Saccharomyces cerevisiae S288C: one gene and its partners. Changing the gene in region 3 together with the main gene of any one other region gives a genetic interaction. Each region holds a gene or a part of one and is shown on either strand. Other genes may lie near its edges.

The links.
Region 1: mutations in CBP4 (region 3) and MRT4 together harm fitness more than expected from each alone (negative genetic interaction), as found in Saccharomyces cerevisiae (2 studies listed by BioGRID).
Region 2: mutations in CBP4 (region 3) and MRH1 together harm fitness more than expected from each alone (negative genetic interaction), as found in Saccharomyces cerevisiae (2 studies listed by BioGRID).

What each region holds. Positions count from the first base shown.
Region 1 is NC_001143.9:424,524-427,452, forward strand, and holds MRT4 (ribosome assembly factor MRT4), read left to right. Parts: upstream 1-1,718; coding exon 1,719-2,429; downstream 2,430-2,929. Other genes in the region: putative ubiquitin-protein ligase UFD4, read right to left, coding at 1-1,352; sphingosine N-acyltransferase LAC1, read right to left, coding at 2,772-2,929. UniProt on the Saccharomyces cerevisiae protein: Component of the ribosome assembly machinery. Nuclear paralog of the ribosomal protein P0, it binds pre-60S subunits at an early stage of assembly in the nucleolus, and is replaced by P0 in cytoplasmic pre-60S subunits and mature 80S ribosomes.
Region 2 is NC_001136.10:506,029-509,653, reverse strand, and holds MRH1 (Mrh1p), read right to left. Parts: upstream 1,508-3,625; coding exon 545-1,507; downstream 1-544.
Region 3 is NC_001139.9:845,278-848,452, forward strand, and holds CBP4 (Cbp4p), read right to left. Parts: upstream 1,129-3,175; coding exon 616-1,128; downstream 1-615. Other genes in the region: YGR174W-A (uncharacterized protein), read left to right, coding at 1,378-1,464; ERG1 (squalene monooxygenase), read right to left, coding at 1,656-3,146.

The DNA of each region.
Region 1 (2,929 bases), on a different chromosome or scaffold from region 3:
GCGTTAGGACTTTTACTATAATGCTGGAATGATCGTGTTGCCATGTCGACAATGTCAGTTTTCTCTCTCAGTTCTCTTGAAAGTACATCACTACTCATCGCTAATACGGTTAAAATATCCAAACATTTCAGTTTATTCTCCAAGGGGGTATCCTGAATAGAAACTAGCTGAACTATTCTTTCGATTAAATCCAACGAAAACAAAGTCTCAAATTTGTCAACCCCATGCAACGCCCCGCAAATACCGTACATGGCATTTACAAGCCTGGTTAATATTGGTTGGTCTGTCGCATTCGAGAAAATTGGCTTCAGCGTTGGAAGTACTTCAACAATGGTCTTAAAGTCATCCGTTCGGATACTGCTACAGGCGTTCGAAACAATTGCGATAGCCTTCCTCTGCGCATGTATAGTTAAAAAATCGAAGAATTGGACGTAGATTGATAATTGGCCCGTTTTTAAAATGTCTCTCCCATGTACTCTAGAAATATATTCCACCGTTTCTAAAACTTGTTCTGCGAGGTCAATGTAACTGATCTCTACCAATTTTCCTTGTAAAATTGGTATAACGTGTTCATCAACAGCTATTGAAATAGATTCAGGGCAGACCTCAAAAAGATTATACATGCATCTACAAGCTTGCATTTGTAATTCTAATTCTTCCCGTAAAATTTTATCAGAGAGTATGGCAGCTATATTACCTATTAAGGTTTCCATCGGTATAATTCTATCGACAACCATTTGATTCATCATTAATATGTTTTCAGAAAGTTCTTTTAAACTCTCCATTGCAATATAAGGATCCTCGGAGGCATTCCCAGTATTCTCTATCAATTTAGAAATCCGCTCATTCCTTGCCGAACTCTCTGCGCTCCTCTCCATCCTTCCTCCAATCATCGATAAAATCTCGGGTAGTGTTCTTCCAACCGGGTGTTGCCCAAGTCCTTCACTTGTTTGTCTTCTTTGTTCTAGTCTTTGTGCGAATGTTTCCAAAATGTCAGGTAAATGTAGGGGGTTGCTGCCAAATTCATTATTATCGTGAGAACGTTCAAGTCCATCTTCTTCTTCATTTCTGTCTTCGTCACTGCCATTCTGAGTTCTATGATATCCATATAAAAGTCCAGAATCATCTTCATGATGGTAATCGTTATCGTCATCTTCACCATCATCTGCCTCAAAACTTCCGACGCTAGAAAGCATATGTTCATCTTCATCTTCATCAGGATAATAAGAGTACTCACCCTGTACATGGCCATCCTCATCATAGTCATCTTCTACCTGCGTATCCATCATATAATCACTGTTTTCGCTATGGGACTCATGTTCATCAAGGTTGTGCGAATTATTTTCAGACATGCTTGGCTACTCTTCTATTTTAAATGTTTATCCAAAATTTTCACACCTGAGATATATTGTTGTTAATAAAGCACACAGAAAGGAAAGTATCGATCCCAGAAAGTGGTCTTTCCCTGGGTATGATCAAAGCTATTCCCCTTTCCAACTACTGTTGGCTATGATCCCACAATTTGATTTCAGTTCAGAAAACCCAACCATTAGGACTTTACCCGGCGAAGGTGAAAGAAAAAATTTTTTTCCAGAAAAATGCGATGAGCTTTTGAAAAGTTGCAAATATTTGTAGTACTTTGGCTAAGCAGAGCTGATTCCTTTTGCTATACGTACATCACTGTCTATCGTCCATAAAAGATTTATTATAGTTGAATCATGCCAAGATCAAAACGTTCCAAGCTAGTCACTTTAGCACAAACCGATAAAAAGGGCAGAGAAAATAAAGAAAGAATTTTCGATGAAGTGAGGGAAGCCTTAGATACTTATAGATACGTCTGGGTCCTACATCTTGACGACGTAAGAACTCCAGTTTTACAAGAAATCAGAACATCTTGGGCAGGCTCTAAGTTAATTATGGGTAAGAGGAAAGTTTTACAAAAAGCATTGGGAGAAAAGAGGGAAGAAGAATACAAAGAAAATCTGTATCAATTGAGTAAGCTTTGTAGCGGTGTCACTGGTTTATTGTTCACTGATGAGGATGTCAACACTGTCAAGGAATACTTTAAGTCATACGTTCGTTCAGACTATTCAAGACCGAACACGAAAGCACCACTAACATTTACAATTCCTGAGGGCATTGTCTACTCACGTGGTGGTCAAATTCCAGCTGAGGAAGATGTTCCAATGATTCATTCTTTAGAGCCAACTATGAGAAACAAATTTGAAATTCCAACTAAAATCAAAGCTGGTAAGATCACCATTGACAGTCCATATTTAGTTTGCACTGAAGGAGAAAAATTAGATGTTCGTCAAGCTTTAATACTGAAACAATTCGGTATCGCTGCTTCTGAATTCAAAGTCAAGGTGTCGGCCTACTATGACAACGATAGCTCCACTGTTGAAAGCACTAACATCAACATGGAATAAGCTGAACTATTATTTGGAAGCCTTTTTTAATAGACCATTGTATAAAAATTTCTTTTTTTTGTATAGATATACTAAAGCAACGCTCATAAATGTAACATAGCTTCTTTTCAACTGAGAATTTATATTCATGCTAACTAAGCGTAAATCACTTTTGATCTTCACAGCTCTTTAGCGGCACGAAAGCAAGAAAAAAAGATAACACTGTATGTCTGGAAAAGAATACTATAAAAATACCTGTTTACATAAACCAATAAGGAAGAACGTGAGAGCAGGACCGTAAAAGAATTAATGTGTAAAGAATTAATGTGTAATGGTTATACTACTTAAAAACACCGTTTTCCTTCAAATATCCTTTTTCGTTGGAGTACTGTCAGTTGGAGTAGTGGAACTTTCATCACTTTCTTCGTCTGATTCACTATCACTTCTGTCATCCTTGAGAATACCTCTCCATAGAATCCTGTAAAGAACTCTAAAAATAAGGAACAGCCAATAAAGATTCA
Region 2 (3,625 bases), on a different chromosome or scaffold from region 3:
GAACTATTTTTCTCGAGAATGCCGCGCAAAGCAGGCACCGTGCCTTTATCTTTCTTTTTTTTCCTCCAGCACTAAACCTTCCATAACAATACTATTAGAAAGGTTGTTATCAAATATTAAAATAACTATTAAAGTGATACAAATATATATATAGATGACGATGGGCATAAAAAAGCTCGTTTCTAATCATCAACTATACGTTTCTTGATCAAAATGCACTGAGCAAAATATTGTTATGAAAACATACTTGCTTGACGAAATGGATTAAATGGATCCATTAAATTAAAAAATGAGTCTAGAATTGCACTTTATGATAGAAAATAAAAATTCGACAAGAAATGGTGATAATTTAACGAACGAAAATATTGAAACGTCAGGAAAATAAAATAAAATATGATAAAAGTTGAAGATGGAGTAAAATAATCTTGTCAAATAATCAATAAAGACAGTTTTATCCATTTATAGGATTGGCTTGAAGTAGAAAATTCTTCAAAGATGATTGAAAGAAAGAAGAAAGTAGCACATAATTGACATGACGATTGGCTTATTCTTCAGACTTCTTAGACTTCTTAGATTTCTTGCTCTTCTTAGACTTCTTTTTCTTGTCCTTACTCAAGTTTGGTGTAGCAGCAGGTCTTGGACTAGCAACTGGAGCTTTTGGAGCCATCACTGCTTCGGCATCACTAGGTCCGAAATGGTAGCCCAATTTGTCAGCACCGAAGTGGTTAGCAATTGGAACCAATAAAGTTGGAATGAAACACATCAAAATAAGATCAATGATACCATAGAAAATACCGGCAGAGTCTGGCTGCAAAACGTTACCACCATCGGTAATACCGAAACAAGTTGGGTAAGCAATAATCCACAAGAACATAATAATGCTGAAGAAAACAAGGAATGTCAACCTGATATCGTTATCTCTTTGTTTCACCAAGTTGTAACTGGTGGTCATAACACTGATACTAACGACAATAGCAGCACCTAGACCGATGGTGTAGTAACCCCATTTGTAAGTGGAGTGAACACAGGCAGCGATCAACCAACAAACAGTGAAGAATTCAGTAATACAAACATTGAAAGCCATTTGCCAGAATGGGGTACCAGCTAGCATACAGATTTGAATAATTGGCCATGGCAAAGCTAAGAACCAACCAACGAATCTAGAGTAGAAGATTTGTCTGTAACCTGGATGTTCTTTTTGAGTAGAAGTTTGGACATGGTTGTACTTAGCCTTGACTGGAATCCAACCTAAGTTAGAAGCCATGGTGAAATAAGCGATACACATGAAAAAGTTTGGAGCAATACCGGTAAGGTAAAAGAATCTGTCATTGACTGGTTTTCTGAACATTAAGAATGTTAAAATTAAACCAAATAATAGGTAACAACAGAAACATGTCCAGAACCAATCGGAACCACGACTAGTGATGTGGAAATCCGCACCGGTTGGAGGGTTAATTTTGATGGCTTCGTTACCACCTCTTTTAATTAAAGTTTCAAAGGTAGACATTGTTATTTTTCTTCTTTGTTCTGTGGGTTAAAGGAAGATGATTAGATATTAAGTGAAATTAGGTATTAGTTAAAATTAAAGCAAAAAATTAATGTTAAAATAGGGTCAAAAAATTGGATGTAGAGAAAGAAAAAGTTATTGAAATAATAATATTTTTGTTCGAGGAAACTTTTTTTTTTTCTGAGTTTCTTTTATTATTCTTTTTCTTCGCAATGTTTCTTAACAATAAGGACAAAAGATAGTGACAACGATCTAAGAATTAAAATAAGCTTAATAATAAATAAAAAGAAGAACTTGAAAAGGGAAAAAGAAGAAATAACGAGAAGTGGGAAAGAAATAAGGATATATCTTAAGTTACCGAAAAAGACACTACTTATAAATGAAGAAACCAGGTGAAGAGATCCTTTGTTTTACGAAGACCGTATTTATACATTTCCCTTCATGTACATGTGTGATAAATTGGAAAACCACTTCTGGAATTAAACTGCTTTTTCTGACATCCTTGTGCAGTCGTTACTGCGATTATTTACATCTTTACTGATTCGTATGAGTGTTTATTTCCATTTTGCCTTTTTTGTCCAGGAAAACTAGAGATGCCGATTTTCGGTTAACAAAAAAAGTCCTGGTGAGGGAAAAAAAACGCTATTTTTTTTGCTCACCGCACTAAGAACTAGCCGGAGAAGACTAAGCTAGGAAAGGGATGGAACAGATGACGACGAAGAAGATTAAGTAAAAAAGGTAAAGGGAGACGAGATGGTGACAAGTATCTCTTTTTTTTATTGCCTTTTTCATATTACCTATTACCGCAAACTGATATATTTCTCAAAGGAGAAATAGTAAAGTGGAAGAGGTTTGGGTCTCTTGGTAACCGGACTACATTTGCAAGTTGCATCTTCCATCGAAGTATTAATTCCCTCCATCCTCTTCTCACTAACACCGGCACGATTTTAAAAATTTTTCAACTCCGTTGTTGAATTACGTATTCCTCTTTATGGTAAGCGCTAAGATGAACAGCGCTGAAAAGCAAAATTTGAATGCTTGAAATTCAGAACATGACTATTCGTTCAGTACTCGCTTCATTTGCATCCTTAGTTAATTTGGCCTGAATTACTTTTTGAATTCAAGAGATAGTGCATAAAATGCGGCCCCCCTTTCCAGCTTCCATAAATTGCGCTGATTGCATGTCTGACTAAGCTTTTTTTTTTTTTTAAGCGACCTTGTCTCGAGGAGCATAATAAAAAAAAGGGAGTAAGGTCGGCGGCAGTCGCTTTTATTAAACTGAAGTAAAACAGAACAAAAATTACTTAAGGGTCGCTAATATTACCCTTATCCTCTCAACAAAAGATAAGAAATTAATTGACCTATACCTATAATACCTAATAAACCCAAAAGTGTCTTGCTCTGATGTATTTGTTTTTTTTAACACAACCTTGCTACCTTAGGCCATCGAGAAGAGATTGAGGTCAAAGTGGAAGCGTTGGAAAAGAAGGAAGACCCATAGTATAATGAAGCTAGTTACCATCCTTAGACGACGCCCATATTTTTCAATTTCTCTTATTTTTTTTTTACGCAGCGTAGCAGTTATGGACAAAAGCCGGCCTGAAACAAGATTGAGATTAAATGAAAGGGCGTCTGCTTGTATATGAACTCAGTCGTCCACTCTTTTTAAAGTACTCTACTTATATAAAAAAAAAAGATAGGGATTTACAATGTTAATTATTACACGCAGCATCTAGCGTATGATTGTATGTCCCGAATGCCCCGTTATTACCCAATAAAGCAAATTAATACGGTCTTTTTATAAAGCTGTGCTTCTTTTTCGGGGTAGTTTTTCCGTGAAACCCGTAGATGGGAACAAGAAGAGCAAAAAACCCTTTTTTTTAAATAATCCGAGAGTTTGACAACTTGTAAAAAAAAGCGCAAATGTCGGCGCGCCAAGTTGAAAAGTCGCTCAGAGAAATGAGAGGTAATACCGCGTTCCCAAAACAAATAAACAAACAGAGCAGCCAATCTGCGTGGAAAGTAAACCAAAAAAGCAGAATCACTTGAATCAGGCGGTTTTCTTCGCTTACTCTATACGGAGCCTAAATGCAAAAAAATAGATATTTTGTACTATTC
Region 3 (3,175 bases):
CTCTGTTGTATCTCAGAATGGGATACCTCAGTATGACAATACATCATCCTAAACGTTCATAAAACACATATGAAACAACCTTACAGCAAAACGAACAGAATGAGCAACATGAAAATAAAACTCTGCCTTCCTTAGCTAACCTACTCTAACGTATAAGTATCTGAACAATTGGTTTAGATCCAAGATTCCGCGCTTCCACCATTTAGTATGATCCATATTTTATATAATATATAGGATAAGTAAGATCCCGTGAATCAAGCTGATAAACCGTTTTGACAACTGGTTACTTCCCTAAGACTGTTTATATTAGGATTGTCAAGAACCTTGACATTACCCCATTGCATGATGCAATAATCTCATATAAATAACAAGCGCAAGTGGTTTAGTGGTAAAATCCAACGTTGCCATCGTTGGGCCCCCGGTTCGATTCCGGGCTTGCGCAATGTTTTTTCCATCCCCAAGTATGGGAACTAAAATAGCTAAAAATAAGTATGAAGTTATATTTTTAAACCTATTTACAGTGTACAAATAAATAATATATCATAAATGACACAGACGTATGTTTTAGGATGCAAAAGTTCAAGCTGCCCTTCCTAATTGAGTGACCCGACCCATCTACCAGAAGCGCCACCAGCTTTTAACCTGCTTATCCTGGACTATTTCCTTTGTTTTCTCCTCCGTTTCAGATCTTAGCTGAGACAGTTCATTTCTGATCCTAGCCAACTCTTCTTTTTGCACCTCCTCCGCCCTCACCTTAGCAAAGTGATCTCTGCTTTGAACGTTATCACCGTTCCTTTCCCAAGGTGATTGAAGGGGGCCCGTCTTCCAAATTGGATCGTCACTTTGAGAAGTTTCCTTAACAATTTTCATCAAAGCCTGCTGCTCCGACTGACGTAGTTTTTTCTCCCTCTCATATTGTAAACGTAATTCTGGGGAAAGCTGGCTGATTAACTGTTGATCTGTTGGCGTTGTGTACTTGAAAAGCAGAAACCCGCTTCCAATAATAGCGCCACCAATTGCATAGACTTTCAACCAACGTACCCACAATGGTCTTTCCATACCCAAATAATGCTTATACTGTCTTTGTTTTGCTATTACTGCCTCTCTAGGAGTTATCGCGCACTGCATGTATATAAAATTTTATCTTGATAAAATACCCCGGGGGATGAGCAAAAAAAGGGATATGGGGAATGAAAAGTGAGATAAACTAGCAATAATCTATTCTAATAAGTAGAACATTCACAAAGACTACTATGGTGTAATTCTGAAAGGATTTACGAGAGCACAAATACTATTATGTATAATTCTGACTGCAGAATCCGGCAAGCTTGATTTAATATCACTTAAGGAAGTAATATCGTTAATTGATAACCGAATATGAATCTCAATGCATATTTTGAAGCATATCAAGCCATTTTTCCTTTTCTGTTGGAGGCATTTTTAAGGAAAGAACAAAAAGTATAAAACACTTCGGTTAATAATAAATGATATGTGAATTTTTTTGAAAATATGTAAAATAAATAAGTAATAAATAAAAATAAGATGTGTTTATCGTAATGTACTATACAAGCCTTCCAAGCCGACTTCTGTAATAAAAAAAAAAGGTGCAGCTTAATGTTTGACGGTTCCTATCCTCTCTCCCTTATAAGCTGTAGTTAACCAATCAACTCACCAAACAAAAATGGGGTGAATACTCTAATAGCTGTGATCAAAATCATAATACCTTCCAATAAAGCCATTGGTAATCCCAAGAAACCACGTTCTTCCATGTTCAAGTAAATGGTGTAAAAAGCGACAGCGAAGAAAACCCTGGTCAATTGCAAAGGCTTTGGCAAGACACCAGACAGAAATTCAACGGGTTTGTTGACACAATCGCCACCTCTTTGGAAATATTTGAAACAACCTTTTTGTAATGCCTTCAAGTTATCGCTGTCAGCAGCGAACAAAGAATACAAAGCCACTGACAAAACGTTAATAACGGAATCGTAACTCTTTCTTTCGAAATGGTAGTCTAGTAATTCATCCAAAACCTTTTCACGGTCGCTGAAGTCTAGGTCACCTATTTTCTTAATCAACAAGACAACATCATGCAAACCGACAGTCATACCACCACCAGTCAATGGATGTCTCATATTTAGAGCGTCACCGATAACACACATACCAGTGACGTCGTTTTGTCTAGCTGGCAAGTAGGAGTTTGGCATAGCTCTAAATTTACCTTGGCTGACGGCTTCATCAAATGAAGGACGTAGACTCTTTGGAATGAAAGGTTGGACATCCTTAATCATCCAACTCTTGATATCAGCTGGGACCTTTGGAGAGTTGTAAGCACAAAGGATTCTTGTTTCTTCTGGACTGATTTGGTAAACCAAGATTGGCATATGATCACTACCAAGAATAACGTGACCGTGCATAGGAGCAGGATTCTTAGCATTGAACAAAGACATACCGACAAACGAAGAACCGACAGTTGGAACATGGTCTGGGTGCAATTCCTTTCTGAAACGTGAAAAGATACCGTCACAGATAAATGTCAAGTGGGCTTTGAATTCCACCTTGCCACGGCCATCAATGTCAACCTTGGCACCAACAACCTCATTCTTTTCATCCTTCAATATCTCAATACAGTTACCTTGCACTCTAGTAACATTTGGCTCTTGAGCAGTAATGTTTCTCAAGTTGTTCAAGAATCTACCATGAACAAAAGCAACACCCCTTTCTCTTTCATCATCTTCGTAATCCTTGATGTGAATAGTGCTGTCTTCCAAGACCTTGTCATTACCATCTTTGACCAAGTCCTTCAATTTTTCAACTTTAGGGATATCGGCCTTGTAAGGGTATGGAATATCAACTTGTTCGCCGTTGAAAAAGACGGTATAACCGGTAACAGGATATGCTTCGATGTTGTTGATAGATTGAATCATACCCAGACTTCTCAATGCTCTAACACCACCTGGTTGCATCAATTCACCAACAATTCTATCAGGCATAGCCCAGTCACGTTCTACGATAAGAACTTTCTTACCCTTTCTTGCTAGACCAGTAGCAACACATGGACCGATAACACCAGCACCGATGACAATCGCATCGTAGGTAATTGTGTTGTCGGCATTAATCAATTCAGGTGCAACGTTAACAGCAGACATGACCCTTTTCTCGATATGTTTTTCTGTGA